Linked DNA regions of Oryzias latipes. The protein of the gene in region 1 interacts with the protein of each later gene in a pairwise test. Links are inferred from orthologs where the notes say so. Each region holds a gene or a part of one and is shown on either strand. Other genes may lie near its edges. The genes, in order: ras-related protein O-Krev and ral guanine nucleotide dissociation stimulator-like 2.

Region 1 (16,281 bases):
CAGAAGAACACCAGCAGGGCGCCCAGCGTCCAGCAGCAGTCTCGCAGGGTGTAGCGCTGCTCGACCACGCGGTCCTGCGGAGGCCGCGGATCCGACCTGGGAGAGCTTTGAGGCGGGTTTTCGTTTCGTAGAGAGACGGGAGCACCATCAGATTTCGCGGCCATGTTTGTTGTAGGGAGGAGGGTCGGGGGAGGGAGGCGCTGCGCGTGGCAGGGAGGGTACAGGAGGGAGGGAAATCGGGGGGGGGGGGGGGGGGGGTCACCAGCTCTCACCGATGAACGTTTTAAATTACATTTATAACCCCCCACCCCACCAAACGCAGCTCTGTTCTCGTGGAATCTAAACCTATAGTTGGGTTTCCACGGTGATGGTTAATTCTCTTCCTGAGCGACTTAAACGCACTTTAGGAGAGCCCTCTGCTCGCTGAAGGGAACATCATCCTAACTTAGAAGTTTCAAACCAATGAACGTAGAACATTTTGGAGTATTTAGTCTGCAGCATCTCCGCATTAGATGGATTTATTAATACGTCTATAACCATCATCGTCATGAGTCGATCTGGAACTGCTGAAATATCTAAAATAGCAAGAGGGTTGAATGGGACATTGCAGTCTGGGAGGGTTTGAGATATTGTTTAAAGTTAATTGTTTAAAGTTGATGTACATAAACTTAAAATTGCATTACGGATTTTATGTGTATATGTCTATATGTTTATATGTATATATATATATATATATATATATATATATATATATATATATATATATATATATATATATATATATATATATATATATATATATATATATATATATATATATATATATATATATATATATATATATATAAAAACGCCCCTCTCACCCTCTGTGGGTGGTTTCTCCTCCAAGCTCGGGTCCTATACCAGAGGCCTGGGAGCTTGAGGGTCCTGCGCAGTCTCTTAGCTGTTCCTAGCACTGCGCTCTTCTGGACTGAGAGGTCTGAGGTCTTTCCAGGTATCTGTTGTAGCCACTCCTCCAGCTTGGGTGTTACTGCCCCGAGTGCTCCAATTACCACAGGCACCACTGTCACCTTCACTTTCCAGGCTTTCTCCAGTTCTTCTCTGAGTCCCTGGTATTTCTCCAGTTTCTCATGTTCCTTCTTCTTGATGTTCCCATCGCTTGGCACTGCCACATCCACCACAACGGCTTTCCTCTGTTCTTTATCCACCACAACAATGTCTGGTTGGTTCGCCATTACCATCCTATCAGTCTGGATCTGGAAGTCCCACAGGATCTTTGCCCTCTCATTCTCTACCACCTTCGGAGGTGTTTCCCATTTTGATCTTGGGGTTTCCAGTTCATATTCTGCACACATGTTCCTGTATATTATTCCAGCCACTTGATTGTGGCGCTCCATGTATGCTTTCCCTGCCAGCATCTTACACCCTGCAGTTATGTGCTGGATTGTTTCAGGCGCCTCTTTGCACAGCCTACACCTTGGGTCTTGTCTGGTGTGGTAGATCTGAGCCTATATATATATATATATATATATATATATATATATATATATATATATATATATATATATATATATATATATATATATATATATATAAGGTGGCTACTTTAAAGAACTTAGAATACGACATATTTTCAGTTTTTTCACACTTTTTTGTTATGTATATAATTCCACATGTGTTAATTCATAGTTTTGATACCTTCAGTGTGGATCTACAATTTTCATAGTCATAAAATTAAAGAAAACCCTTTGAATGTCAAAGTCAAAGTCAGCTTTATTGTCAAATATGCTGCATCCATAAGACATACAGCACAGATGAAATTGCTTTTCTCTCACCCCACAGTGCAAGCAGCATATAAAATAATAAATAAACGACTTAAAAAATAGATAAAAAGACAGTAATAGTAAGAGGAATAACAGTAGTCTAAACAGTGCTAAGAACAGTGGCATGGTTAAAGTGGCAGTTTAAAGTGACATCAGTGCTGAGAACGGTAAGTGGATGAGTCAGTGGTGGCAGTCTTTGGTTATGATGTGTTCTGAAATGGTGTGAAGTTTTCAATGTGAGCTTGTAGGATGGAGTGGAGGGGCCAGAGGGGGGAGGGCAGGGACAGAGTTGAGTGTCCTTATTGCCTGATGGAGGAAACTGTCTTTTAGTCTGCTGGTTCTGGCTTGCAGACTTTGCAGTCTCCTCCCTGATGGCAGCAGGTTGAAGTGTCTCTGGGATGGGTGTGAGGGGTCCCTTGCAATCCTGATGGCTTTGCGGGTGAGGCGGGAGCGGTAAACGTCCGAGAGGCCAGTAAGAGGGACACCAACGATCTTCTCAGCTGTTTTCACAATGTGCTGCAGAGTCTTCCGGCAGGACACAGTGCAGGCTCCGTACCACACGGTGATGCAGCTGGTCAGGATGCTCTCGATGGCGCCCCTGTAGAAGGTCTGCATGATGGGCGGAGGAGCTCTGGCCCTCTTCAGAATGTGAAGGCGTCCAAAACTTTGGTCTGTACTGTATATACAGTGGTGGACAAAATTGTTGGTGCCCCTCAGTTAAAGAAAGAAAGTCCACAATGCTCACTTAAATTACTTGAAATGTTCAAAATTAATACTAAATTAAAATTTATTGAACATTAAATAATCAAAATCAGCCATTACTTTTGAGTTCTTGATTAACAGAATTATTTAACCCTTAGTGCTATCTTAGATGACCCCATCCTTACATTGACGTGTTATTCCTACCATGACAAAGGTGGACAAAGGTGGAAAGATTTCATGTAATCCATGGTCACCAGTGAAGATCACAAATCATTGAAGAAAATAGGTTCAGCACGGTGTCTAGTGGGTCTAGATGACCCAACTCCCAATGTTAAAGTGCCTAGGATACCACAAGGGTTATAAAAACAAACTAATGAAATAGGGCTGGACAAAAATGACGGTACCTCCATAAAAGACTGAGAAATAATAGCCAACCGACAGTAGCCAACCTCCCTGGACGTGGCCGGAAGAGGAAAATTGATGACAATTTGAGGAGACGGATAGTTGGAACTGTATCCAAAGAGCCCAGAACAACCTCCAAAGACATTAAAGGTGAACTCCTAGATCAAGGTACATCAGTGTCAGATCGCACCATGCGTCATTGTTTGAGCCAGAAAGGATTTCATGGGAGACGACCAAGGAGGACACCACTGTTGAAAGGAAATCATAGAAAAGCCAGACTGGAATTTGCAAAAATGCATGTTGACAAGCCACGAAGCTTCTGGGAAAATATCCTTTGGACAGATGAGACAAAACTGGAGCTTTTGGTAAGGCACATCAGCTCTATGTTCGTAGACTCAAAAATGAAGCATACAATGAAAAGAACTTCGTCCCTACTGTGAAACATGGCGGAAGCTCAGTTCTGTTTTGGGGCTGCTCTGCTGCATCTGGCACAGGGTGTCTTGAAGTTGTGCAAGGTAAAATGAAATCTCAAGGTTATCAAGGCATTCTGGATAAAAATGTGCTGCCTAGTGTCAGAAAGCTTGGTCTCAGTTGCAGGTCATGGGTCTTCCAACAGGACAACGATCCAAAACACACAGCCAAAAACCCCCAAGAATGGCTGAGAGAAAAGCGTTGGACTATTCTGAAGTGGCCTTCTATGAGCCCTGATCTGAATCCCATTGAACATCTGTGGAAGGAGCTGAAACATGCCCTTTGGAGAAGACACCCATCAAACCTGAGACAACTGGAGCAGTTTGCTGATGAGGAGTGGGCCAAAATACCTGTGGACAGGTGCAGAAGGCTCATTGGCAAATAGGTCTTCCTTTCCTGGGGCGGTCCGCATGTGAGCCGGTTTCTTTGTAGCGCTTGATGGTTTTTGTGACTGCACTTGAGGACACTTTCAAAGTTTTCCCAATTTTTCGGACTGACTGACCTTCATTTCTTAAAGTAATGATGGCCACTGGTTTTTCTGTACTTAGCTGCTTTTTTTCTTCTTTCTTCACTTCTTAAACCTGACAGGGCACACCTGTAAAGTGAAGACCATTTCAGGTGACTACCTCTTTAAGTTCATCAAGAGAATGTCAAGAGTGTACAAAGCAGTAATCAAAGCAAAAGGTGGCTACTTTGAAGAACCTAGAATATGACATTTTCAGTTGTTTCACACTTTATGTATATAATTCCACGTGTTCATAGTTTTTATGCCGTTATTTTCATGAAAATAAAGAAAACTCTTTGAATGAGGTGTCCAAACTTTTGAGAGAGAAAGAGAAAGAGGATGCATCAGAATGGAGCGAAGCAGGGACTCACCCATTTCACTTGCTGCATCACAACAGAGCTTTTTTAAACAGCAGGCTATTGTCTGCTCCTGAGCAATCAGAGCTTAAATAAAATACTCAGTTTTAATCTTAAATTGTTTTGTCTTCCATCGTAATAAAAATGTCAGTCATAATTAAAAGACCACTGGAAACGCTTAAAAATAGTTTCAAATATGACCAGAGTGGGACTCTAAATGTGCACACTGATGCTTTATGGGTAAACGAGTTTGCTATTTTAGGGTTGTTTATATTTAAAGAACAAGTTCTTTTGTTCTTCATTAGAAATGATCATTGTTTCACATTCCAACTCATCAACTTTGCTTTCTTCTTTTGTTCCCATCTTCTGCTCAAACTCCAGGATCTTGTTTCAGTTTATGCTGGTTTCAATTAAAGCTGTGGAGTGAGATTTTTTATTTTATTTGGCATTACTTTCTGAGACGTCAACTGACAAGCACTTAAAAGACCCCATCAATAATGTCACAACAGACAAAGGAGATAATGAAAACGTACTAAAATTTAATCATTCATAAAAGCTGGAAAAATTTGTGACACAGCAACAACAAGCAATATTAGAGGTTGTTAAGTACAATTCCATCCTCAAGACAAATCAGAACACCCGTTGCCCCCATCGGTCTATAAAATACAAATTTCCTTAACTTTATTATGCAAAAGTGGAAGAACAATATATTATGGGGAAATATGGAAGGCTTGCAGCTGTCATTATAAAACAAAGTCACTTAGGAAAGATGTTATCTATGCACATCCTTGTAAGGAGGAACCAGTAAAGTATAGTTAATGACTCGTCTTCGGTGACACAGTTAGTGCAGAAATGTACAAGAAGACCAAGCTTTTACACAGGATCCTTTTCAGAAACATATTGTCAAAGACTGATATTACTTTGAATAAAACATTTTAGTTCCCATACGTGGATTGAAATCCACAGTCTATGTTTTCACATGAGACGTTTTCCAGAAGAAAGACACCTTGGATAAGAACAAACAAAAGATAAGAACAGAAATGAAAAACTGTTGTCACCAAGCCGACTGTACAAATTTCTTTGTCATTAAAAAGCAGAGAGGTTCTTAAAGAGTATGTGCCGTGTCTTGCGAGTGGTAAAGTTTCCGTCGGCCTGTTTCAAATTGCTCTGGCGAGGACTTGGAATGCTGGCACCATCCACTGGGAAACAGTAAATCATCACTTGTTTCTGCAGGTTTCACAAGAATGCAGCAGTTTGTTAGGAATGAACACAACAATGACTACAGCACAGTTTGGGTGGAGTTTAAAACATTTTAAAATGAAAACCACTGATACATTTACATGTCATTTCAGCTCAATTGTCATCAAGTAATAGGAAGATGACAGTATTTTTGTATTTTGTGAGCCGAATTACAGATTATCTAAAAGTAAATTTCTAATTTATCCCTCAAATGATTGTTTTCAATAATAAATATACTCTAAATCATCAAGAGGATGTTTATTTTACATGTATAAAATTGGAATAAACTTTTCTTCAGGAATTTGTTGATTAGAATTTGGTTTTTAATGACAGTTGTGCTTAAAATGTACCCAAATGGACTCATTAAGGTTTTAAAATAAAAAAACAAAATTCAAGCTTTGCATCATTTTAGATAGATGAGAATTTATGTTACTACATTAAGAAAATAAAAGCATTTTTGGTATTAATGACCTGTGGATTGTATGAGAGATCGTGTTCCCCCAACATTTAGAATCTTTTAAGAAATAAAAGCCAACAGGATATTTATTGACAAATTGTGTGTTTTCTTTCTTATAACAGTTTAAGGCTGCGTTCACAGTGCAGGCTGAAACGACCCAATTCTGATTTTTTTGCCGCTATGCGACCTGCATCTGATCTTTTCATGACAGTCTGAACGACACAGATCCGATCTTTTCAAATGTGACCCAGGCTACTTGGGTATGTGGTCCTGAATCCGATACGCATCAGATCTTTTGAAATGCGACCTCCGTCTGAACGGCCAGGCAACATGAATCCGACCGCACGTCATCGATATGCTACAAACGTCATAATTCTGCGTTGAAGTAGGCGGGAACAAGAACATAAACATCAACCATGGCGGACGATGCTGCTGAGACCAGTCAGGATGGAAGGAAGCAAGGTCACCGATTGGATTAATATTTGGGGTGACAGCTCTATTCAGGCCAAACTCAAGGGCTCATATCGCAACCGGGCGGTTTTTGAAAAAATTTCCAGCGAAATGGCCGAGCGTGGTGTTGAACCTTCCCCGCGATGACTTTTTTTCCTTCTTCTCCCTTTCTGACCGTGGTCAGAAGCGTGGGGGACAGAAGGCGGATCCTCCTTCAGGGTTCACTTCCCCGTTCGGACCCTCAGATTCTCCAGAGCGGGTTAAGAAAGAGTCAATAGCATTTATTCTGGGGGAAACCTTTAATTCTCGTTCTCCTTCCTCCTTTAACATACAACATGAATGCGCGCCGCCACTGCCCCCCTCATTCTCTACCTCGCTGCACGCGCTCTGTCCTGTCTCTTACACACACACACACACACACACACATGCGTGCAGCCCCAAGCACATACACATCCCCTTTCCACAACAGTGGATACAGACGATCCCGGCTCCAATGCCTTCTTAAAATGAGAAGATTGTAATTGTGCTGGCTCCTTTGTGAAAATAAATGTAACAATGCAAAAAGAGCTCCGCTGTTGATAACACTGTTGTTGAAATTCCATTGTTAACGTTAGCTACTTCCACAAACAATGAGTGATGTCGTTCACCATTGAGTACTTTTCTGCGCATGCGGGTCACTTCTGGGTCATTTCACACAGGAGATCATAAAAAATTTGCATTTAATTGGAAATGTTAACGGCCTTGCAAAAAAATTGGACTTTTACAAAAAATCGGAATTGAGCATTAAACCCTGCAGTGTGAACGTAGCCTTATTGTTCTGTTTATAAATCATATCCTCCTGACTACAGGAATTGCAAATTTGTTCTCTGTAGTGGTCATTTCTAAACCTAAATTTCTCCCCACCACTGCACACTATGGAATTAACTCCTTATAGGATCTACAGAGGACATTTTGGGCTTTTCAGTAAAACAAACGTGAAGGAGTGGAGCTCTGGGAATTGTAGTTTTTGGTGAAAAAAAAAGGGCCAAACTTTTTCTCTGGTAGGCAGGACGATAAGGGCTGTATTTGTATAACCAAAGCAAGGACAGCAACCTTGGTTTTTTTCATTTTCATTTATACTAAAGGCTTTTTAAAGTGGTTTCAGTGACCACTAACATGAGAAACTGTAGTTGCACACATCAACTGCAGGTGGCGTCAGATTTTTCATACCAACAAAAAAGACAAATCTTCAGGCAATGATGTTCATTTTCGTTAACCTCTACATTTCCTCGTCCTCATTAAACCACATCAAAACTGGCGTAGACTTTTTTTTGGTGTTTTTTTAAACTTTACAATCAAAACAGTCAAACAGCTTCAGGATTAGATTTTTAACATGAAATCCAGAAAATGATTATTTCCAGCACAGACTTCAACCTTCACTGACCACCTGCAGCTCAGAGAGCAGCTGCAGCTCAGCAAATGTCTACAATACATTTAACACCCACTCCGTCACTCACCTGGCCTGGAGCAACTGTGGGTGGCAGTCTTAGAGCAGCGTGCAGCCAGACTTCTTTTTTGTCTTCTTTTCAGGCGGCGATTTTCTGTTGATCTGTCGCACCAGATCATAAAAAATCTGCAACAGAGGGATGTGAACATTTCACATCAGCTGCACGTTCCCCAAGAGAAGAGCTCCACATATGGAAAGCTTTGTGCTAATGCTTTAAAAAGCTCCAGCTGCAGCTAAAAGGCATTAGGCGAGTGGGTCTATAGAGGAACCAGGATGCTGAGCTGCACCATCCGGGGGAGGCTCAGGAGTCAGATTAGGTGGTTTGGAGGAAATCCAGTGCTTGATTTTTTATTATAATTTTCAGTAAACCAAATCAGAATTTTGACATCAGATGAGGACTGGGCTCATTTATTGTAACATTTATTGTTTACAGGAAACAGCATAAATAACAGCAAATCGCTGTCACATGGCAAAAGTACTGAAATCTGAATGAAATCAGATGTGAGAATTGGTTTTCCAACAGAGCTGCTCCATGAACACATGACACTCACCTCATTAACGTTGATCTTTGATTTAGCTGAAGTCTCTAAAAAGGCACAGTTGTTCCACTGACGGGCCAGATTCTGCCCCTGCTCCTTTCCAACTACGCGCTCATCTTCCAGATCACACTTGTTCCCCACCAGGATCATGGGAACCTGATCAAGAGGAGGAAATGTTCAATTAAAAGCAGGATTTTTTTTAGCCACATAATAGCTTTCAAAAATTGGTTTGGCAGAATTCAAAGTAAATATGGTGCTTCAAAAAATAAGCTTAAGTCAATTGGTTTGACATTTGCAGCCAGGATTTACAAAATGACTGAACAGTTGAGGTCTGATGTCACACAAAAGAGGAAATGCTCATTGCTATGAAATGAACATATTGATTCTTGGTATGTACAGTGGGGCAAAAAAAAGTATTTAGTCAGCCACCAATTGTGGAAGTTCTATTTTAAAAGATGAGAAAGGCATTTAAATTTCATCATAGGTTAGGGCTGGGCGATATGGCCCAAAAATCTCCGATTTTATTTGTTTTAATTTGATTTCAAACCCCCCCCCCACTTAAAGAAAGCAATAAGTACAAACGGCAGACAACTTAAAGCAAATTTTGCTTTTATTTAATCAAACGCAAGACAAATGTAACCCCTATTTCTGGGATGAATAATAAATAAATGAATGCACTCTTGGAATCAAAGTCCCAGCTGTGTTTTAAGCCACACTTTGTAGTTTTGACTAAAAGGAGACAAACATTCACCTTGAGAGTAGCACCGCTTTCTAAAGGATTAACAATACAGCTCATATCTGGGGTCTAAGGTTTTAATCAAATGAATAAACCCCGTCTTCTCCACCGTATATATGGGTACCATGTCTTTGGCTATATGCAAAGCGACCGCTTCGGTGATTGTTCTTCAGTACCGAGCCCCGGTATTGAAAGAGTCCCGGTTCAACATTCTTCAAGACCGCAGTATCCAAAAGATCTGACCTTAACGGTTCTGCTATCAGTACTGGAGAAGTTGCTTTTTTTTGTGTCCCAAAAAATATAAACTAGAGCTGTGATGGTGTGGGATTTTTGATCACAGCGCTGATGAAGCAGCAGGAGCCGCGGAGTGAAGGAAAACAGTAAAAGGTTCCCCCCCAGGTGTTGGAATAGGTTTGTGGTGCTGCTGCCTTTGACTGCAATGAGCTTTAGGCAAATGTTGCAGCGTGGGGTCTCTTCCTCCACGTCTGTGGCAGCAAACCCATACCAGTTCCAATCAACAAATGATTTTATTCCTTTCTTGGGAACAAACTTCCCACTCTCACCGGTAGCCATGTTGTCGCTAGCTTTTTCGTGTGTGCTATGATGTTGTTGTTTGTCGCTTGCCATACCGCTGTGTGAAACTAACGCTACCGAAGCTCTGGGGAGCCAAAAATGCGCCATAACACAAAAACTCGATTTAGTTATTTTTTAAATTGCCTGTAACAAAAAATTCGAATTAATTCATTCAATTGATTTTTCGCTCAGGCCTATCATTGGTATATACCTCAACTATGAGACAAAAGAAGAAAATCAAACAGAAAATGACATGGTGGAAAATTACTAAGTATTTCATCAATAACAAAAGTTCAACTCTATACTTTGTTGTATACCCTTTTTTGGAAATGACAGCAGTCAAACATTTTCTCTAAGTCTTCACGAGTTTTTCACAAACTGTTGCCAGTATTTTGGCCCATTCCTCCATGCAGATCTCCTCTAGAGCAGTGATGTTTTGGGGCTGTTGCTGGGCAACATGGATTTTAAACTCCCTCCAAAGATTTTCTATGGGGTTAAGATCTGGAGACTGGCTAGGCCACTCCTGGTCCTTGAAATGCTTCTTACAAAGCCACTCCTTCGGTACCTGGGCAGTGTGTTTGTGATTGTTGTAATGCCGAAAGACCCAGCCACATTTCCTCTCCAATCCCCTTGCTGATGGAAGGAGGTTTTCACTCAAAATCTGACGATGTATGGTCCCATTCATTCTTTCCTTCACATGGATCAGTCGTCCTGGTCCCTTTGCTGAAAACCACTCCCAAACCAATTGCTGGCTGACTAAAGACTTTTTCGCCCCACTGTATTCTCTGGATATCTGACCATCTGCTTTGATCCGAAGCTGCATTCTGCTGCTGTAAATATCATTCAAAAAACAACAGACCCCTTCAGTCCATGCATCCTACAGAGTGTTTTATCAATGACAATGATTATGAAAAAGCTTCACCAGCTAATAACACACTAATCTCCAATTAAAGTTTTACAACAACATCCATAACTTGCATCTAAGGCTGGGTGATATGCAATGTTTTTATGTCACAATATAATTTATTATAGAAGGGGATAACAATATATATTACGATATAATCCAAATAACTATATAGTATATATGTCAAATTTGTACACTCTGCTCACAAGATAAATGTGTCATCATCAGCAGGTTGTTTGGATTTAAATATTTATTACTCATCATCCTTTAAACATAACAAATTCACTGAAAAACGAAGCATTAATTCTACAGATTAATTAAAATGTTTTCTAGTTGTACAGAACAAACATAAAATTGTCAAACCTTTTTGTCAACATGTGAAGAATAGTTAGAAACTGCCTTTAACTTTTATTACACTAATGGTTTAAACTTAATTCACTGAGCATGTATTGTCATCTCAAAATTATATTACATTTGAAGAAAGCACAGCCAAACTATTGTTCTAACAGTTTCTTCCCATACTCCCTCTTTTCTGTGCATGTTTTCTGCTGAGCAGGCCTCAGACTTATCTTCACTTTAGCCTTGGAGCTTCCCTCCAGCAGTAACCTGTGGGCGTTATTTTCACACGAGGCCCATCGGACGATCTTCTGAATATGCAAATGCAGGGTTTTTATACCAAAGCCCATCCCTGAGCTCGTTGGTTCGGACTTTGAATGTACCATGTTCATATGTCTGTCCCCTTCGTGTTTGGGCGAAGTAAAACCTCCACAAAAGCTAAGTTTTGTCTCTGAGTCATTATTCATTATTTCTGTGTGCAAGAAACTGATGGGGTAACGAACCTAAAAATATTCCTATTTTACAGTCCTTTCTAGAAAATCCAGTTTCTTCACATTTGGTCCTTCTGAGCCGGCCGGCGCGCGCCCTGGACATCGCTGGAACCCCTGGGGGGGGTTGCCTGAAAACCGCTAGCGGTCTGAGATCACAGCCTCAGCATTGACCAATCCGCCTTCAGGATCGGCGGCCCTCGCCCTTGGGTCCGGTGGTGCCCCCGGTGACGTCGGACCCTCATCAAATAGCGACGTTCATTGCTTGAAGTGAGTACGCCACACAGAAAGTCTGTCCTCTCTTTACTTGTTAGGGTTTTATGTTGACTGTGTCTGTGTCTTGTGTGTGGGTGCCTCATCTCTTGGGGAAGAACAGAGAGAGCCGTGTGCAGTCACAGTGCTGCGCGTGCACGCTGACCACAGGAGCGCCTGCAGTCAGCCTGCTGCGGGTGCATGTGTCCTCCTTCACGGGAGATGACAGGGAGAAGTGTGTAGCGTAAGAGAAAAACCCGTCGGAAGCTGTGTGTCCCCGACGTAGGGATAGATTCGGTTGAAACCCGTCGGAAGCTGTGTGTCCCCGACGTAGGGATAGATTAGGTTGAAACCCGTCGGAAGCTGTGTGTCCCCGACGTAGGGATAGATTAGGTTGAAACCCGTCGGAAGCTGTGTGTCCCCGACGTAGAGATAGATTCGGTTGAAACCCGTCGGAAGCTGTGTGTCCCCGACGTAGGGATAGATTCGGTTGAAACCCGTCGGAAGCTGTGTGTCCCCGACGTAGGGATAGATTAGGTTGAAACCCGTCGGAAGCTGTGTGTCCCCGACGTAGAGATAGATTCGGTTGAAACCCGTCGGAAGCTGTGTGTCCCCGACGTAGGGATAGATTCGGTTGAAACCCGTCGGAAGCTGTGTGTCCCCGACGTAGAGATAGATTCGGTTGAAACCCGTCGGAAGCTGTGTGTCCCCGACGTAGGGATAGATTCGGTTGAAACCCGTCGGAAGCTGTGTGTCCCCGACGTAGGGATAGATTAGGTTGAAACCCGTCGGAAGCTGTGTGTCCCGACGTAGGGACAGAATCGGTTGAAACGTGCTGTCGGCTGTGTGGACGGCTTAGGGACAGATTCGGTTAAGGCGCGTCGTGCACGGCATTTGGGAACAAACGGAGCTCCGGGGAATTCATGTGTGTGTAACGTTTTTTATGTCTTGTCTGTGTCTGCTTTCTGCGACGGCTTCTGTGGTGTATGCTCGCTTTGATTAATGCCTCATGATGGCTTTGATTCATATCTTATTCTAAATAAATGCATAATGAATATGGTGACTCAGTTGACAAATAATTAGGCTTCTTTTCTGATTCTCCAAGCTTTTTCTGCTGATTAGATTCAGCGCTGGAGGATCCATAAAAAGGGTTACTTGGGTGGGAGCTCTGGTTTGTGATTGAAATTGAGAAGCTGGTTCTCAGGACAGCCACATCCGCAAGGGATTTAGCTCTTGTAGAAGCCTGGTGTGGTCTATGAATTCCTGAGAACGTTGTGGCTGATCGTCATTCATAACCCTAGAAAACATGGGTGGGACTCATTCACAAAATCTCACTAAAAAGAAAAAAAGCACATTGATCAGGTCCAGAAAACTTTTCATAAAGTTTGGAAGTATGTGGGAAGTCAGGATCAGACATAAATCAAGTATTTGGATAAATGGTTTAAAGATTATGGATTTGATAGAAAGTTAAGCAGCCTCAGAGTGCAGGACAGAGCAGAAGGAGGGGGGGACAGCTTCACAGATCAGAGTGCGCGTGCCCGAGCCTGCAGACAGGCTGATGAGGACTCGCAGAAAGGAGGGGTGATTTCTCCATTGTAAGCAGATATAAAAGCTTTCTCTGCTCTCCGAATAATGATAGGACGTGTTTTAGTATGTTTTTTGGGGGTATTTTAGTGTTTAGGACATGGACTAGGGTAGATGTTCAGAAAAAGCAATAGAAAGTATCATTTCTTACAAAGCAGATGTGGATCATTTTGTGGAGGACAGACCTCCCTCTTGTATAAACATGATCAGACTCGGACGGCTGGTGCAGCCTTCCTTTTTTTTTTTTTTTTAGTTCACTCTCCCCTGCTCATAAAAAGTTTGATTGCAGCCTTCTGACCCCACTAATCAGGTCCCTGCATTTCTGCTTGTAAATCAGGATTGACCCCTTAAAAGCATTCCTGAGGGTCTCTGGTTCACTAACTCGCCTTACGTTTTTTTTAATGGACATGTCTGCTAATCGTTCTAAGTTTCAACTCTCAGGGGAATAAGTGCGGTAAGACTAAACTCCAGCTGGCCCAAGCACAAGTTAAAATTTTCGGGACATTTAGTTTCTGTTTCTAGCAAAATTATTTCTCTCCCCGGACCTCACCACCTTATCTGATCAGCCCCCACCTTTACTCACTCGCTGTAAGCTGCAGCTGCTTGCGCGGCTGATAGTTGAAACAATGTCACCTGTGATTCTCTTGTGCGAATTCTCCAGAATCACATGCAGTATGCTCCACTCCCTTCCGTCCAAGCATTACCATTAGTCAAACTGTTATCGGCCTGTTCATGCTACTGTTGAAATGAGACGCAGTTCTTGTCTGTTTCACTTTCAATGTGTTTTTTTCACAATTTTTATTTTTTTGATTTTTATTTATTTTATTTTATTTATTTTATTTTTTTCCTGATTTTTTTTTTTTTTTTCTACTCTCATGCCTGGCTCTACTGACACCATTGATGATTTACATGAGTATTTGAAGAAAGCTGTGAGAACAAAGGAACGCATTGAGTCTGCCTCCAGCTCTCTCCTCCCCACAGACTCTGCATCCTGACCAGAAGACCCCTGTCGGTGACCTGCTTTACTCGAAGGCCATTCAACGGACTGATTGGTCACACCCGAGGTGGACGGGCCCCTACAAGGTTCTCCTCACCATGCCACCTACAGTACACTTTGCTGAACGACCCTCCTGGATTCCCGTAAGCCACTGTAAATTGCTGAGAGCCTATGAGACTGACATTTTGAGACACATCCCTGGTTGAAGTCCAACTACGAAGCCGCCCCAGTGTGACACCACTCATGGCGAGGGGAGCTCCCTGGTGTGTTTCCTCTAGCGCTGCTCTCTTCCAGCTACAGTGAGCTTCGAACCAGCTAACATGGGTCCAGCTGTTCCTCGTGGTTTCATCTTGTACTTTTATTCCCTCTTCTTCTGGAGATCTCATTCACATCATCAGCGAGGTCAAGGCCCTTAAATCACAAATTTCTTCTCAGATGACTGACGCCTACTGGTCTGGGTCCCCACTTTATTGGTTTACTTCTGGTGGAGTGTACTGATAAAACTAGTCACTCCGGTCCTCTGTGTGTTGTTTTTCTTTTTTTCTTTTCGTCACCTGTTGGATTCCATGTGTCAAATGAATTATCGCTGTCAGGCCAACTCTATCAGCATTATGCCAACACTTAACCTAATTCGCATCCGCTCGTGGTTGAAACTGGTCTTTACAGATTTATTTTATTGTTTTTCTTTTGTTCGATTTCAATTTGTTTATTTTCTTTATTTCTTATTATGTTTCTTGTTCTATGTAACTTTAATTAATAATTTTGTGCCGAGGTCTGGACTGGTGATGCATGTGTATCCCTAGTGATGGCTGCTGAGGGGCACAGAGCCGTTGATGAGTTTTGCCCTCCCTGACTGCTCACTGAATGTTTCACACAGACGGTATAAGTTTAGCCCTGGAGGTTTTCGCATCAACACTCATGTATCACCTACCACCTCTGATATGCTCATTTATTCACGTTGATTTTATGTTTTCTTTTGTATTTACATGTACCTCTACATTTTTGTTTTCGATGCAGAGCCGATATGCTGCCTATACTGAAAATCTTCGTGAAATGGTGTATGGTTGATGATGACAGGAGTTCTGCTGACTATCCATGTATAATTTTAATATGACAAACAGGGGGGTATGTGAAGAATAGTTAGAAACTGCCTTTAACTTTTATTACACTAATGGTTTAAACTTAATTCACTGAGCATGTATTGTCATCTCAAAATTATATTACATTTGAAGAAAGCACAGCCAAACTATTGTTCTAACAGTTTCTTCCCATACTCCCTCTTTTCTGTGCATGTTTTCTGCTGAGCAGGCCTCAGACTTATCTTCACTTTAGCCTTGGAGCTTCCCTCCAGCAGTAACCTGTGGGCGTTATTTTCACACGAGGCCCATCGGACGATCTTCTGAATATGCAAATGCAGGGTTTTTATACCAAAGCCCATCCCTGAGCTCGTTGGTTCGGACTTTGAATGTACCATGTTCATATGTCTGTCCCCTTCGTGTTTGGGCGAAGTAAAACCTCCACAAAAGCTAAGTTTTGTCTCTGAGTCATTATTCATTATTTCTGTGTGCAAGAAACTGATGGGGTAACGAACCTAAAAATATTCCTATTTTACAGTCCTTTCTAGAAAATCCAGTTTCTTCACACAACATCCTGTGAATAAGCTAGGAACTACAAGCAAATTCTCAGAATTTCTTCTCATAGTTTAGACTGTAGCTGCAGCGCAGGTCTTACCTTTGTCGTTTTAGGTAGTAGATTAACAAATAAGTAAATAAACAAACCATCTACTGGCTAAACATATTCTGTAACAACGAAATTATAACACCGTTTTACACAGAAATACCTTCGTTTTTTTTTTAAATAACTTTTTGTACTTTTTTCAGATTTTTTTTTTTGACGAATGAAAATGCATAAAGTAATTTATAAATGGTATGAACACGTCTTTACTGCCATCTAACTGTAAACTCAAATTCAAATATACTGG
Region 2 (16,971 bases), on another chromosome or scaffold:
TTGAAAAGTTATGCTACATGTCTAAAAAACAAAACTTGACTTTTCTTTTTGATAATAAAAAAGTATATTCATCTTATGTATTTTTTAAGCTATATTTTGCAGGTGACTGCACATTACTGCTATACCTATATTCAAATATACTTATTTTTGTAAAACAATTATAGAAATGCCACCTATCTAGGTCGAGAGGAACGGCATGGATTGGAACGGACTGCCTTATGTGAGGAAGGTTCATCGTTTACATGAATAATCCGGAATTAATCCGGAGTCAATCCAGCTGTTTTCATAACTAGCTGAACCCCTTTAGGGGTCACAGTGTTGCTGGAGCCTATCCCAAATACTGTTGGGTAGCCAGTCTGTTGCAAGGTCACACACTCACGTGCACACCTAGAGGATATTAGGGGTCACCAAGTAACGTATGAAGTATGATTTTAGACTGTGGGAGAAAATCAGAGAAAACATGCACGAGGAGTTTATGCAAACTCAACACACAAAAAACCCAGCTGGGATCTGAAATGGGCCTTCTCGCTGTGAGGTGCAAGCGCTAACCGCTACACCGCGCACCATGCAGCCCCAAATGTTTCAGAATAAAGTGGGTTTGAGTGACCCTGATCACTGTGGGATCAGTAGCACACACAGGATCCCTGGCAGCCTTCGAGAGGCTCTGGATGACGCTCTGGATCCTTTACCTGCTCAATGAGGCAGAAGGATCACTCCATCTCAGTCTGGATGTGTCACGAAGAACCAGTTCCTCTAAATGCACAAAACTCCCCAAAAATGGCATTCAGGGAGCGCGACAGTGTGCAGAGACGCAGACAGGAGGTTTATGGATGTCTCTATTACATGAAGAGGACTAATTTCACTCAGAGACACTCGGGACACTTTCCACAGAGGATAAAGGAGACAGCCAGCCATGAGGCGACAGCAGCGCTGTAATACTTTATGAATTTTTAATAAATGAGTGCAGCTCGCTCTCTCGCTGTCCTTTTATGCTTGTGTGACATTTCCATCCACATGAGTTCCATCTGACCTTGATTATGCTTGCAGATAAGGACGTCGGCTGTCTTTAGTCCAATAAAAAGACCAGAGAGATGCATTAGCTGTCATTGATGTCAAATATAATCAGCCTGCTTTAAAATGTCAGCATTCAGTTGACATTTAGAGACAATCTTAGTTGCTTTTTTTTTTTATATAAGGAAAACTGCCCCCTGAATTAAATGTTTGTTACGGCACATCATCCAAACCAACCAAGTTCATATGAAAGTAAATTTATTACCACAAAAATAGGACATCCTGTATGTAGTGCATAAATAGCATTGATGTCAAACAACAGCGCTGGAGGCGGCGGCATTTCCTCCACGTGTACATTCAGCACATGACAAAGGTGAGCACCCAAAGGAGGAAGGCACTAAAACAGTCAGTAGCAAGGCAAAGATCATCAGCATTACCCAGAATCCTCTCCCGGTCCTGCAAATGCCTGCGCTTCAGCCGATCGAGCGGCCTCATCAGCTCCAAGCGGGCTGACCTGGGGTCACAGGATTCGTCTGTTCGGGTTCAGATCTCACCCCGTGAAAATGGAGCTGAGGCTGATGGGAAATGGAGGCTTAGCTGATGCTCAGTTAACCCTTCAGGTGTAAAAAAAAAACATGTTTTGGGGGTTTAGCTGTGAGCTTAAAGCGAAGCCAAATATTTTAAAGTGCTTTTTCAAAGCTGCAATAATTCAATATTTCCTGCTAAACTTTCAACTTTTCAGTGTTTTATCACATCTTTTTAAATGTCTGACATCATCTACCGATAAATTTTTTTCTCTCTAAATTGTTGGACATGAAGCTTTTAAAGACAATTATGGTTTCAGGGGTGAAAAAAAAAATGCTTCACAGAGCAGCAGATTTGGTCAAATCCTTGGCGCCATTCTCCATCAAACAGTGATAAGAGCAGCCTTTAGCTGAGATGGAGGGTTAAAAGAATCCACTTTGTTTTTGCACTTATGCTTTTTTTTTTACTTGTCAACCAGGAAGCTGGAGCTCTCTGTCAGTGTAAACACAACACTGACGTCATACAGACATATAGAAATATATACAAAACATGACTCATCTGCATACAGCAGCGCTTTACTGCCACGCGGGAAACTCCAAGCTCCTCTCCGATCAGGAATTTGAAAAGCAAAACGAACAGGGATGTGGAAACCAGCACCTGCTTCCCACTGGGAAATAGTGGTGCATATTGTTCAGGAGCGCCGACTCAGCACACCGTCAAACCCCTTGTTTTTGGTGTTTTTGGCAGATTTATGTGTTCAATGAAAAACAATCTGTGGCTGAGGATGAAGCTTTCGTCAAAATAAGTTCCGGACCAGTCTCCGCCCCTTGGCCTTGATCCGAGGAAAGGTGGCGCTGGTCTCTGGGCTGATTGACGGCGAGCAAAAGGGACTGTTCCCACCTTTGCTTCTCAACAGGAAGTCAACGCTGGATGAGGACATGGCGTAGAAGACGTTTCCTGTGGGCGGGATGATGAGTTCTGAAAGCAGATGGTGTTGGCAGAAGTTTAGAGATTCTGTGTTTGTGAGGCAACTGGACCGAGATTCCCACAAACGATTCATCACAGCCAGTGATGAGATGCAGAACCGTGGGTCTAAAAGCACTTTTACCAGCTCAACTTGTTTTTTTCCTCTATTGCTCCTTGTGTTCTTTGGATGAGCCACGCCTGTGGAGAGTTAGTCCATCATTCCACACCTCTGTGGAATAATGTTCCTGTTCTCCATTTCCTGATCCCTCTGTGCATCTTCATGTTCCTGAACATTATTCACAATCTTTACCTGATTGGTCCAACATAACCTAAATGGTCATTTTTGTTTCTTTCTTTAAATATTCCAGAACTGTTGCTTCCCAAACGTGGTTTTATTTACCAGATTTAGTTCAGTTTATAGCCTGAGAATGTGATTTACTTTTGTGGTTCCTGACAGTGTCCTTTCACAGTTTTTAGTTCTTCTTTACAACATTTTTAGTTGTTGAAAGCTCCAAAAATAGACATTAGCTGATGTTTTTAAGTTTAATCTTTAGCTAAAATACTTAGGTTTTGTTAAAAGGAAACGAATCAACAAGAAATCAACAAATTACATTGTAAATTCGACTATGTGACACATTAATAACGACTTTAACCTAAACTGCCAAACATGCGTTTTTTTTGTTATGTTTATGTTAAAACCTTTTCTCTTAATTTAAATGAGACAAGCAGTTTATCTTGGGAGTTTGGTGATGTTTTTGTACCTTTTCCTTCAGGCAGGAGCTGGATCAGCTCGAATCTTGATGCCTGTTTGGGGTCCTGATTGTGCTTCTCTAAGGCAGAGCTGACCACAGTGGGGGTCTTGTCATTGCTGGTAACCTGAGGGAGGAAGAGGAGGAGGATAATGACAATGAGGCAGCTAGATGTGCTGTAATCACACACTGGCTTGGCGGTGTGATGCCAGCCTGATCCTGATGACCGTCATTAGCGCCCTCGCAGACAGGAGGAGCAGCTGCAAGTGCAGCGTGTGACGCATCATCCGGAATGACGGCGCTGCAGACCGTTTCGTTTTTTTACCAGAATGCTTCGGTACAAGTTTCCATCATGCAGCTCCATCCGAATCTTGATGATCCGTATCTCGGGCCCTGACCCCTGGACGCTGGCGATGGGAGTGGTGCCGCAGGAGGCGGATCTCCGGTGAGACTTTGTGGGGGTGGATGGAGTGAGGGAGGCGGGGGTGGAGTCATTAGTTGGAGGCGATGTGTCGACATCCAGACAGGATACAGAGGGAGACCTCATGTGCTGCAACAGAAACCACAGGAACCCTGCAGTTGTAGTCGTGCGAAACAGAGCCAACCGGGCTTTAGCGAGTTACCTTTGTGAGTTTGGAGAGGAGGTTATTGACCGGGGAGTGAAAGTCAAAGAAACCCTCGCCATCGCCAGACAGGCTGCCCCGGGACGTGCTCAAACTGAAAACACACCAACACTCATTAAAGTCGTTTGGCGAAGCCGAGACTCCTGCCTGCTGATGAGTCTGTGAGCCGCCAGCAGAGGGCAGCAGATCACTTTCTCTGCACCACAAGCATACCAGAAGAAAAAAGGAACGTGCCATGTTGAAGAGTGAATCAGTAAAAGGAGAAGTGGACACAAAGTGCACGTGAAACTCCAGCGCACGTGAAGGTTTCCTATGTGCAGAAGGCCCTTCATATTTCCTGATGGTTTGTTTGTCGATCCCAATAAAATGCAAAAATATTAATTTAAAGAAGACGCAGAAACTCATGTGGTTCAGGACGCGGTTTTGTGACTCATTAGCTTGAGCTCTGCCTGGTCGTCACTGTGGTGTCTTTCTAGAAACTGTGGTGTCACAGACACCCGGTGTCGGGTCGCATGTGCTGAGTGTGGGAGGGGCTCAACTTACTCTGGACACTGTGTGATGATGACAGCGGGGGCCAGGCAGCGGGGGCTCTGCTCCACAGGTTCGATTTCATTGGAAAGCCTGTAGCTGCAGTGACACAGAGCATTCAGAGGTTACATTCAGAGCGCTGAGGATTGGGTTCAGATGGGGGGCTGGGTGGGGTACCTCTGCTCCTCAGTGAGCGTGGGCACGCTGTGGTACCACTGCATGAAGGCCTCATCACTGACGAAGACACAGTTTTTGCAGGAAGACTGTAGGAGGCGGATCTGAGCTAAAACCTCAAACTCCTGTGAACAGAGAACTTTACTCAGCACGACAAAGCTCCTGGACCTTCATCAGTCCCTGCATACTCTTCCTCCGATCTGCTTTTTTTTTTTTTTTTGCACAGAAAGCATTGTGTGCATGCAACCCTCACCCTTCTCCTTTTGTCAAAGTTGATGTAGCCATTCTGCCAAAGGAGGAACAGGATGTTAGCTCATCTGAAAAGGTTAAAACCCAACCCTGCAGACAGAAGCGCACTCACATCCAGGCGGTCTTTGACGGCCGTGTCCAGCATGGTGAGGTCGGTCAGGAAGATTCCCAGGTATGGCACGGTGCCCTGAGCGTTGGACTGAGACACCAGGAGGAAAAAAAGTGTTGCATCTGTTTATTTACCAAGCCCCCCCCCAACCGCCCCACAAAGACAGAACTCCAGCCTGCAGCGGTTTTTCAGGAAAATGGCACTGTGCTCCACTTTACTGCTGCATCGATTTCACCCATTAAACCGCCGATCACTTGTTATTCCACTGTCTGCACTCTCCTGACCTTCCAACCGCTCTTTTAATTCCCCACCTTTGTCCCAGAAGAAGAAAACTTTTAAAATATGAATACATATATTCCCATTTGTTGTTCAGATTCGTTATTTTTGATGTACAGAGGTTTTGATTTTTTTTTTCAAAAAACATTTTTATCAGATGACCTTTAGAGACCGTTCCTTTCCATTTATCCACATGTCAATGAAACCCTGATGTTTTACTCCTTAATTGGAATATGGTCAAAAACTCAGCTTTTGTAACACTTTGATCTGCTGCTTCCCTGTCAGAACTTTTCTGGCTTGAAAGAGCAAAGAAAACAGCCGCTACTCTGTGACCAGTTTAGTAACAAATAACTGATGCTCTGCAGGTCATGTGAGCAAACCGAGAAGCTCCACAAACGCAGAACCTTTTTTTATTTGGTCCCAAACGTGATCAGCTCTCTGAGACTTCTCGAAAAGTTTCTAAAAAAGAATTGACACAAAAATAAAATAAATGAACCTTGTTGCCGAATTCCTGGTACGACTTTAAAAAAGTTCAAATAAGACACAAAATTGCCAGTGTCTGACTTTTTCTAAGCAAAATACTGATGTGATGTAAACCACAAACAAACCAATGTTATAATGCAGAAATACAGTATTTATAAATGTGTTTTGTTAAAGTTCCTTTTTTATTATTAATATTTATATTTGATGCAAATATATGTAAATATCTAGATTTTTCCTTTTTTTTTTACTCTAAAATTTGTTAATCCAAAAATTGCACAAGAGGGAGATAAACAAGTTTTCTTCTTTCTGTTCCCTGTCATTTTTCTTCTATTAGAACTTGTGCTAGATCTGTTCTTTTTGTTGTTTTGTGGAAATGAAAAAAAAAGAAAAAATTGAATCGAATTTAAAAAAAAGTTTCTATTTTTGAGCAGGAAATCTGTCCGCTGGAACATTTTAAACTTCTCAAATGCACTCTCTGTTCTGCAGTACCGTCAATGATGCCGGCATCCTCACATGTGGAGGAACCGGCTCCTCCGTGACACTGAACACGCGTGTGCACGTGCATCCACAGCAGCCTCTGTTCACAAACACGACTCCAGAACGCAGCCGCTTCATCACCGATTCGCCTGCTGCCTCTCAGCCTTTTAGTCAGCAATTAGAGTTTCTGTCACACCCTCTACTCAATTCAGTAAAGACACGCTTCCAATGAATCCTGTCTGCTTGTCTTTACACATCAAAAACAGGAAAACCTGAAAGAAAAGCTAATCATAGATCTTGTTCTGCACACCTTGAACTCAAAGTCTGCCCTTAAACTTTTACAACAAAGCGGCTGGTGCCTTTTCAGGCTCTTACATCATTTCTGAATCTTTCCAAGCTGTCATGAATGCCTGTGGGGGTGAAACTCCACCCCCAGGCTAAAACACTTCATATTCATGCCAGACACCAGCAGGAAACTTCAAGACGTCATTTCACTCTTTCATGTTTCTGAACATGAGACGACGTTTGGGTCTATGATAAACAATAACCAGGAGGTCGTATTAAGTTGATGTCTGTTGTAGAAGGTCAGGCTGAAGCAGAACCTCAGCAGCTCTTACCCGGGTAACGTGTCTGTTGTTAAGCCTGTTGTCAAGATTGGCGAACTTCGATGTTCCCTCCTGAAAGACACACAATAAAAGTGGAACATGTTTGATCTGATCTCAAGATCTCCATCAGTGCTTTTTGGTTCTGATTTAAGAGCAAGAAGCTCTGTTAATGCAGATAAAAAAAGACAGAAGAAGGAAAAACACATTTGCTGCAACATTTCAACCCGCCCCACCTGGTCAGTGATATTCATAGTCACACATTCACTGCGAGAGCAGAACTGCAGATTTAAACTACGTCTCTTGGCTGGCCTGGGACTGGGAACGTTTTGCCCCCCCCCCCCCCCCCCCCCCCAAAAAAAAAAAAAGGAGCTGGAGGAAGTGGCTGGGGAGAGGGAAGTCTGGGCAGCTTTACTGAGACTGAGACCCGGTCCGGATGAGCGGAAGAAGATGGATAGATGGATGGGTGAGTGTGTAAATGTGTATGTTTTGTTTCTTGAGTGTGTGCTTGTGTGTATGTGCTAGTGTTTAGGTGTGCATGGACGTGTGTGTTTGTGCGTACATAAGTGTGTATGTGGGTGTGTATGTTAGTGTGTATATGTGTGGATGTAAGTGTCTTTAGAAGTGTGTGGATAAGTACATTTGTGCGTATGTGAGTGTGTTTAGGTGTGTGTGGACGTGTGTGTTTGTGTGTACTGTATGTAAATGTGCAGAGGTCAGTAAATGCATCACACCGTCGATCATTTTTGTCTCTTTTTCCTCTTAACTGACCTCAGACACCCCCCATATTCTACAGATTTGATCACACAAAGTTTTTTTTAGTCAAGTTTTGTTCTTTTTTTACATCCCAAAGGATCCGGTTCATAACTGTCTGCCACTTTAAAAAAAAAAAGCTCAGACATGAAAGATGTAGCAGAGAAATCAAAGCTCCACCCAAAAGCTGTGGACTTTTTCAGAAGAAAAGACAGTAAACGTTTGCATGGACTCTTCTGGGGGGGGTGAAACTTCACCACCACAGCTAATCAAACTAACCGTAGCAGCTTCCCAAAGTCAGAGCAGACTAAATATAGCGTTTCTTCAAACGGACGTCTGGCGGAAGTGAAAGTGCTGACAGAATCGGAGCATCAGCTGTTTTCTGCTCTTTAAAGCCCTTTAACGCACCGACCGGATTCCTGATCAAGCAGCTGAGGTCTTAAATGACTCCGACTGCAGGTGAGATGATCATGCTGTCAGAACCTGATCAGATGTTCCTGCAGGGAAAGGCTTTGGAGGAGATTTGGGGTCTAAAGCTTCAGTCAGGACTGACAAATGAGGAAAACAGAACGTCCGCAGGAAGACTTCTGTTGACTTAGTTGAGTCCTTGGCTTTCCCTGCAGCGGCTTTGCAACGTTTACTGGCAAACATAGTGGGAGACGGTTGTCTGCCGGTTTCCCACGTGGACTTGACCACAAGTTATGCGAGTTAAAACCCAAAACACGAATCTGCAGCTTATCAGGAGAAAGCATCTCTGAGGCCTGTTGAAGCCCTGCAGGGGGCACACGAGCTGCCAACAGCTGCAGAGACGTCAGAAAACAAAAGAGCTTTTGAAACCCGACTCCCAAACACGGTCAGGGTGCTCAAACTGGCAGCTTTCCCCTCCCAGCAGAGGCTCTGAATGACTTCACCCGCCGTCCCATAACAGGAGATGCACAAACACCATCATGGACGCCTGGCATCAAACCTCAAGCACGTGAGCTCCGCTTTCCGAGTGAACCAGCTCACCTCTGAACGCCCCGTGACCTCGTGACGTCGCCCCACGTCCGCTCACCTCACCCGGAAAACACAAAGCCCTATTCATTCCGCTCCTTCCTTATCTGCAGCACAGCTCACCTCCTTCAGCAGCTCCCGCGTCTGTGAGTAGTTGTCCTTGTCGGAGAAAATCTCTGCCAGCTCCTCGTATCTCCTCAAGGCCTCTCTGTGAAGGAAAAGGTCAAGGGTTCAATTAGATTCCCGCTTCGTTTAGATGTACAGATGACGTAAAGGCGATCTGCACCAGGAGAAATGAAAAGTACAATAGCAAGGATCAATCTATCACACTTTCACATGGAAAAAAAGGACGGAAAACTTTTGTTATAACTCCTTCTGTCATTAAATACTTTTAACTTTGAATTATTTTTAGTCCATTTTAAAATCGGATTTTTGACACATTTGAAATTTTCCTCTAATACATTAATAAAACCCCTTTTCAATTCATTTTTAACAGTTTGACCTTATTTAATTTAAAATAAAAACATTAAAAAGTACATTTTTATTTGCATTTCTTTTATTTGTTTAATTTTTACGAAAGTATTTCTACTTTTTCCAGCCGAAATGATGCAATGTCACTGCATGTGCAAACTAATATATTATAACCATTAATCACTAGAAAAATATACTTTTAAATAACCCAGTTTAACTTATTTGAAATTTAACTGAGATATTAAAAGGACATTTATCTGTAGCTTAAGTTACTGTAAGAAGTAACACAATAATAAGACTGAATAACACAATGTTTCTTAAAGTTCATCAGTAAATGTAAAATATTATTAATTTTACCTTCTTCTATTTGATCCATTTATGATTTTAATCTTTTATTTTAAAAGTTATCTTGCTGTATTTTCAGAATAAAAGACTTGGCAGATCTTAAAATGGAATTAAAAGAACCTTAGATTATTGTTTTATGGAATTGTTTTCATTAATTTTGAACCAAATCAACCCATGACTCTGAAGTTGGGAAGAAAAACAAAGTCCTCCCCATTCTGAAACAGCTGTTGGAAGTGTTTCAGCTTTAAACATTTAAAGGGAATTTGGCTAACATGCAAACTGAGGCCTGAAGAATGAGAGAAAAAGCTCAATTTCCAAGTGGACCGCCCTGTCCTAACATCTCGCTGCAGAGCTATTGATCATCAGTTTCTCGCTTTTTCATTTGTTAGATTAGTCTGCTTCTGCCTCTCTGACTTGACAGAACTACGTCCCACACCTGTCGGTGTCGTGCCACGTTCTCCTCAGCCGGTGGATGGGGTTACTCTTCAGCGCCGAAACGACGGCGTACAGCGAGGAGAAGTTCTTCCTGGCTCTGCACTCCTGTTGGAAGCACAAACACACGCATGAACAGGCGTTTGCATGAACAAACACAGACGCTCCTTCCTCTGTTGGATGAGGATGGAATGGCGAGGAAACCAATGAGAAACCAGCAGTGAGCCAACAAACCACAGTTTGACCAGAGATACCCTGCAGACAGAAACCCAGAGTCTGTGTGTGTGTTTGCACTGTCATCGCTCTGACATAACGCCGAAAGCTGAGCCAAACACTTTGTTTGCACACAGCTCGTATATCATAAATGCCCCTTAGAGTTAGAGTTCCCTTAGTGTGACTACAGATCGGGAAACATGGAATGAAAACATCTTTTGTGTGCCAGAAAGGGAGTTCAATTCCCACAAAATTTCCCATGAAAAGAAAAAAGGAAAATAAAAAAACAAAATGAAAAGTTTTACACATTTAAAGAAGGAGAACCTAAATAAGTACACCTTCTTTCCCCAGCCCATCATAAATAATGAATTAATAGAGTTTCATTCCATAGAAAAAGTATTTCAAACACACAAGGGATTTTTCAGCGTAAAAGTCTATTTATGGTCATAAAGTCCCACTTCGATCATCTTTTGATCTGTTTTCAAAGCGTTCCCAATGGTCTTTTCATTATGGTTATGAAGTTTTTTGCCAAAATATAAGGAAATTAAATTGTCGCTTTCCAGGACATAGTTTCTGCAGAGCAGCAAGAGCTCATTAGAAATTAATCTCTGAGTTGTGGACGATACTGTTGGCGTGAAGTTAGCCCTGCCCCCCCCTTTCTATTACCCATCTGTTTAGATGCTCTACCACTAGCTCACAGCACCTCACACCCCCAACATAACATCAGGGGTGCAACAAAAATGGCGAGCAACATTGGAACCATCCAATTTTGAGCCCGATTCTCCCAAAATCTTTAGGTAGTTTGAATCAGAAGTGAACTTTCTTTTGCGTTTGTACCGTTGTGCTCTTGAGCAAATGAACTCAGGGAGACTTTCCCCTTTAGAAATGTTTTCCATCATTTCAAGCCATCCCTCGCCATCACACTGCCATTGCCGTGCCTGACTGTTGTCCTGAAGTTCTTTTGTTTTGTTAGTGTGACCGTAGATGTCTGGGGATTCACTCCTTCCATTAAATTCCTTAGCAGAACATCAGTCCAGATGTTTCTCTGTCTTCTCGCTGCTCGCCAGTGTTACTTCTTGAACTCTTCCATTGATCCATGTTTGTCCAAGTCTCTTTCCGACTGTTGAATCGTGAACTCTGATCTTAAAACTTGCACATGACTTGGCTGGTCTCAAGTTTTAAATATTGTTCCTGAGAGTCTAAAAACATCCCAAACGTGATTCCAGCTTCTCCATTTGGTTCAGGTCTCAAAACTTCACTTTTAGGTCACTGGAATTTTGAATTTAGTCAAATATGTGAACACCAAACCTTTCACAGAGCTGTCACTCATATTCTGATCCGTCACAAGTTTGCAAAAGAGGAAGAAATGTGACACAACTCTTCGGAGGGAGGGGCTTACAACCTCTGCAAATGAATTGTGACTGATTGGCGACGAAAGTGAGAATCCTTATGCAAATTTTTACTCTACACTTTGTTGAGAGTCTGCGGTGAATTTGAAATGTGACTCCAAATAGAAACCTTTGTTACTGTTTTGGCTGGATGGCTCTAATATTGCTCGCCATTTTTGTCGCACCAATAATGTTAGTTTGGGGTTGTGAGGAGCTGTAAGCTAGCAGGAGAGCATGAAAACAGAGAGCTTTCAGCAGCAGGAAGGGTAAAGGGGGGCGGGGTTGCTATGGGCCAACAGTCCAACCCCCAACTCAGAGGTGAGTTTCCAATCAACTCCTGTCCGTCTGCAGAAACTGTGTCCGAGAAAACGACAAAGGTTTCAGATTTTGGCTGAAAAAACGGCATAATCATAATTAAAAGACACTTTAAAAATATTTGTGTATCATTAAAATGTTAATGATCACTTTATGCAAGTATGAAATCATGGAGGGTGCCATTCCACTGACCTCTGCCACGCCGATCCACTTCTCCAGCAGCCGCGCCCTCTGCTGGCTGCGCAGCGTTGTGGGCCAAAGACAGGAGGCTAAAACGGCGTTAGCCAGCTTGTTGAATTGACGCACGGTGGCCCGGACGGACCAACAAACGCCCTCTCTGCCCTTCTTGTCCCGCTGAGACCACAGAGAGCCGAGACAGTGGTACGGGACCAGACGGACAAACAGCTCCTGAAAAACATGGACACTTCCTGTCAGCGCAGATTAGACGTCCTTTCCAAAAAGATCTAAGGTCCCGAGCCGTCAAAGAGAAATATGGACTAGGTGTAGAGAAATTAAAAATAGAACATTTCCTAAAGTTTACTGCATCATCTGAGGCTGAAAAGCCTTCAGAATGTTTGACTGTTAACATCTAACTTTTTAAGAAACCTTTAATAGTTGCAGCAAGAAGAAACCATACTGTTAACCTGAACTGACCGTTTCTATCTTGGTGAGCTGCTCGGCGATGAGCGACGAAGGAAACCCCAGGATGCTGGTGGGTTCAAACAAGGACGGGTTGGGAGGGGGGCTGTCGAAACTGGACCGATCTGCAAACAAAGCTGCTGCTCAGTGAGGACATGAATCTGTTGTTTCAGAGCAATTCAAGAGACAAGTTAGCCGGAGATTTGCATCATTTTAAAAGTGGATTTGTCATTTCCACTAAGAATGAGTCTTTTTATTCCTGTTCCATTGAAAAGCCACCATTTGAGTCCTTCTCTTTTTCCAATTTGAATTAAATTTAACATTTTAATAGCTTTATAAATACATTGAAATGCATGCTTTATCGCTTTAAAAAAAATGATATTATATGTTTTAATGTTTTATGAGAAACAAGAAAAGTGTGTTTTCATCACCTAGCCTACCATCTATTTTGACCTTACTGAAAGTTTAATTAAGAATACCAACCAACACTATTTTAAAAAGTCAGTACATTGTATATCAATCTAGAGCTCCTTTTTCCTTGCAAAATGGTAATAAGGTCACTGTTGAATATTAGAATTTTGCTGCAGAAGATCAGCAAAAACAGGAAGGTAAGCTGCAGCCGTGAACAGACAAATGTCGTTGGGCTGAATAATTCCAGAGGATCTGCAGCTTGTTGTTAGCAGGATTAGGGCGTGTCCAAACATCACGCCATCGACGCTGCAGCAGCAAACCTCGCTGGCTCCAAGCTGCACCTCCAACATTTTTAGTCAAACATCTCCAGCTTTGATCCGGTCATGCTAGTTAAACATTTTGACTCCAGAAATGTGAAGATAAACATTAAACCCCCCAAAAATTTGCCATTTTCTTTTCTTTGATATTATGCACTGAGTGTAAGTATCTGTTTTTTTATGCATTAGCAGCTCATTTGTTCAGAATTCAACAACTAATATAATATTCAACTAATATTCCAAACCTCTGCGGGAGTCGAGGAGCAGGGCTTTCTCGCTGAGCTCCTCTGCGATCCTCAGGAGCTGGGCACGGAGGTCAGCTGCAGATGATGAGTCCTGAGGGAGGAGTGGAGCCAAGCGGAGCAGACAGGTGGGATTTCCCAGACTGTGGAAGTCTTCAGGATACTCGGACAGCCACGTCCTGAAGACGGTGCACACCGCTCTGCAGAGGAACACAGAGCATGCAGACTGACTGACTTCCATAAACCGAACCCTTCCAAGCCATCAAGTAAGAGAGGAAACTATAGGGATGCATCATCCAAAGTTTGTGGGGCTTTTCAAAATAAATGTCTCAAACGTTTTAATAATACTTTGCATCTTACAACACTTTGACAGCAGGGAAAGATTAGAAAATAAGCACAGAAAAGAACTTTTAATAAAAAGTAGAGAGAATTGTATATAAATAAATCATATCAATATAAAAAAAAAGGAAATTCTGTGATTAAAACACTTAAAAAATAAGAAAATAAATATGATAAAGTATTAGAAGAAAATGAAGCAACTTGCTGCATGAACTAAAGCTGCTGCAGCCTGACTGCATCCAATGCAAGCAGGAAGTTAGGATTCACATTTAAATGTGTAAAATTGGGCTTTATTTAAAGTTAAAAAAACAAGAAGTAGAGCGACCTTCAGAGCTACACATATTTAAAAATAGAGTGAAGTCAAAAGAAAAAACGTTTTGCAGAAACTCACTTGTTGAAAGCCTGTCTGATGTGGCTTCGCTCGCTGTCGCCGGGTGGATTCTCTAATCTGGAAGCAACAGAAAAATATTTAAATGAACTTTTAAGTAAAGCTCATTTATAAAAAAGTAGAGCATGTAAACAGAGAGCTCTCAGCTATATCAGCACAAACAGTTGCGCCCACAACTCAGAGGTGAATTTCTATTGAACTCCTGCTGCTCTGCAGAAACCTTGACCAAGAAATGACAGGTTTTTTGATTTTGGCTAAAAACAGCATCATCATGATTAAATGACCGACAGATATCGAAAGGTTATTTATTAAAAGAGAGGAAAAATACAATTTTAGGGAAAAAAATTAATTTCTCATACATAAAGCACGTACAAATAAAAAAAAGATTTTGTGTTTCAGTTTGTGAAGTTGTGGAACAGAGCCAGTAAATACTTGAAACAATTTCGAAACATAAAAGAATTTAAGTATAAATACAGAAATATGATCATTGACAAAAATGTACAAATACCGTATTTTCCGGACTATAAGTCGCACCGGCCCAAAAATGCATTATAAAGTAGAAAAAAACACAGATAAGTCGCACTGGACTATAAGTCGCATTTTGACGGGAAATTTATTTGACAAAATCTGAGACCAAGAACTAATAAGTTCCACAACCTCATATGACACAATCATAGCAGACTGTTTATCTCATAATTTCACAGTAATTCTTTCTCATATTTATTTATTCCTTTCATGAAGCATCATTGGCCAACTAATACTCTGTTTTCATCCTGTATTTGTAGAAACAGTTGTCATTTTTATTGCATTTCTGAATCTATGAAATCATTGGATTATCATCCAATCATTAGCCTTCAAGATCTTACTGTAAAAAAAGGTTTGCTGATTCTCTGAGTCACTTAACACACTCTTAACACTTAACATACCTCATACATCAAATTGACCCAGGAACATCATCTCTGTTACTCACAAATGAACATAACAGGAGGGTTAACGATGTATTTATTTCAATTTATTTCTAATATAAGTCGCTGCGGAGTATAAGTCGCACCCCTTGCCAAACTATGAAAAAAAGGGCGACTTATAGTCCGGAAAATACGGTACAAAACAATACAGAACATCAGCCTTTGTAAATCTGCATACTTAGAAAATACGTTTTGTATTTTTCTGGAAATAAGAATTACATTTGCAGCTGTAACCGAATATACACTTGGGTAAGGCGCTGGACTTTGATGGTAGGTGTACTGGGTTTAGTTAGGAATGTAAGGACTTAAAGTAAAGGGGGTGAGAGTTTATAAGATTTTTCTTCTTCTCACTCCCTTTTGGACTTGTGTTGTTCATATAATTTTGTCTTATATCATTTTTGTCGTGTTTTTGTCTTATTTTGTTATTCTACACTTGTTTTCACTTGTCCAAAATAAAAAGGTTACTTACATACTTACTTAGTTAAAGAGTACCGGAAGCACTCTGGTTATAGATAAAAAGATGACCAGAGTGCGACTTTAAAAGGTTTCTTAAGAAGTTGTTTACTTAATCAAAGTACTTCAAACTGAAGACGTGGAATTTGTGATGCAGTGTTAATGTGACCTAGATGACCTCCATGATGGAGAATCTTCAGAGGAACTTTATGAACCTTTTTACATTTAAATTGTACTATTTTACTCCAAACGTAATACTATCTTTTTTAGTGTTTATTTCATTTCTATTCTTTGTTGATTACAAAAGCAAAACAACATTTTTGCAATTCCAACCATCAGTCCAGCAGAACATGTTTTCATGATTCCAGCTATGCTTTCAAGTCTTATTTCACATTTATTAATATGTTTTTATCTTACAGTGATAAATTATGGTCTCAGTGTTTGTGACCCTGGAGTGTCTAAATTCTTCTTTTAACTCTAAACGGAAAAAGTCCTTAAAGTATCTGATAAGAACTGTCTGAATTCAATAAACTGTTAAAAGAGGATCCTTTTTTCAACTCACATTAGTCAAATAAAACTGATGTTTTTTAAGTTAAGCACTTAGATTTTATTTGATAAGGAATATTTCCCTGCCATTTAAAGTGGTTTCTTGTGGTCTTTGGAAAGTTTTGTGTGACATTTATCTTAAAAATAACAATTTGTGCAAATTTATGGTTTTAGGTCTTCAGCACCGACGGATCCTGTCGTCTGAAAGTTAGTTGGTCAGTCACCTGTCAGTGAGGATGCCCAGCACTCGCTCGGTGGAGGTGAAGGATCGGTATGTGGAGAGGAAGATGGTGATGTAGGAGGAGTCCCCCAGCGAAAACGAGTGGAGGAGGTGGAGCACCAGCTTCTCCTCCGTCCCCGCTTTCACGCACTGAGAACGAAAAACGGCCGGCTGAAAGACGACGGGAGATCTGCTCAAAGGGTCCTTTCTAATCCCTTTTTATGTGAAGCTTTGGGCAGAAACACTTACTGTCGGACCGTGGGGGACACCGTGCTGTTTGACCACCACTGTGTAGATCACGCCGTCATCCTCTTCCTCTGCAACTGTGGACTAAAGCAGAGGAAACGTAAGCTCCTTGTGCTTTGCACACAAGATAGACTTCACAAAAGCTTCTGGAAAACATTTTGGGATAACAATTTTCTCCATGTATTATTTGGTTCTTTCATCCCGTCCTGTTCTCCAAACCCGGGAGGTCTGTGAAGCATCAGATAACACAGGTGGTGACATTTTTTCAAGTGACAAACTTCAAAATGAATCGGTATTTTTCCAACTTAAGCTTTTTAGTGAAAACATTAACAAAACAAAAAAAGACAAACATGCGTCTTTGTAACGTTTTAATGCAAACTTTGACGTGGAACAAACAGTCGCAAAGGACACAGAGACGAGAAACACAGAAGATCCGACTAAATTCAGAGTTGTGCTGAAGTGAGGTTATATTTTCTGCTTTAATAAAATCTTTGCGGTCATCTCCATGTGACAGAACCTTTAG

The links.
Region 2: the proteins of ras-related protein O-Krev (region 1) and ral guanine nucleotide dissociation stimulator-like 2 interact in a two-hybrid assay, tested with the Homo sapiens proteins (2 studies listed by BioGRID and IntAct). The link is inferred for Oryzias latipes from reciprocal best matches to the Homo sapiens genes RAP1B and RGL2.

Annotation. Positions count from the first base shown.
Region 1 is NC_019865.2:21,755,984-21,772,264, forward strand, and holds the end of ras-related protein O-Krev, read right to left. Parts: intron 8,587-16,281; coding exon 8,443-8,586; intron 8,018-8,442; coding exon 7,931-8,017; 3' UTR 7,902-7,930; intron 5,487-7,901; 3' UTR 4,779-5,486; downstream 1-4,778. Other genes in the region: XK-related protein 7, read right to left, coding at 1-164. UniProt on the Homo sapiens protein: GTP-binding protein that possesses intrinsic GTPase activity. Contributes to the polarizing activity of KRIT1 and CDH5 in the establishment and maintenance of correct endothelial cell polarity and vascular lumen.
Region 2 is NC_019874.2:28,735,580-28,752,550, forward strand, and holds the end of ral guanine nucleotide dissociation stimulator-like 2, read right to left. Parts: intron 16,533-16,971; coding exon 16,452-16,532; intron 16,374-16,451; coding exon 16,207-16,373; intron 14,079-16,206; coding exon 14,022-14,078; intron 13,492-14,021; coding exon 13,295-13,491; intron 12,459-13,294; coding exon 12,337-12,458; intron 12,091-12,336; coding exon 11,875-12,090; intron 9,875-11,874; coding exon 9,771-9,874; intron 8,727-9,770; coding exon 8,642-8,726; intron 6,848-8,641; coding exon 6,788-6,847; intron 5,025-6,787; coding exon 4,938-5,024; intron 4,863-4,937; coding exon 4,830-4,862; intron 4,702-4,829; coding exon 4,580-4,701; intron 4,502-4,579; coding exon 4,418-4,501; intron 3,969-4,417; coding exon 3,875-3,968; intron 3,802-3,874; coding exon 3,577-3,801; intron 3,379-3,576; coding exon 3,264-3,378; intron 2,515-3,263; coding exon 2,333-2,514; 3' UTR 1,253-2,332; downstream 1-1,252. UniProt on the Homo sapiens protein: Probable guanine nucleotide exchange factor. Putative effector of Ras and/or Rap. Associates with the GTP-bound form of Rap 1A and H-Ras in vitro.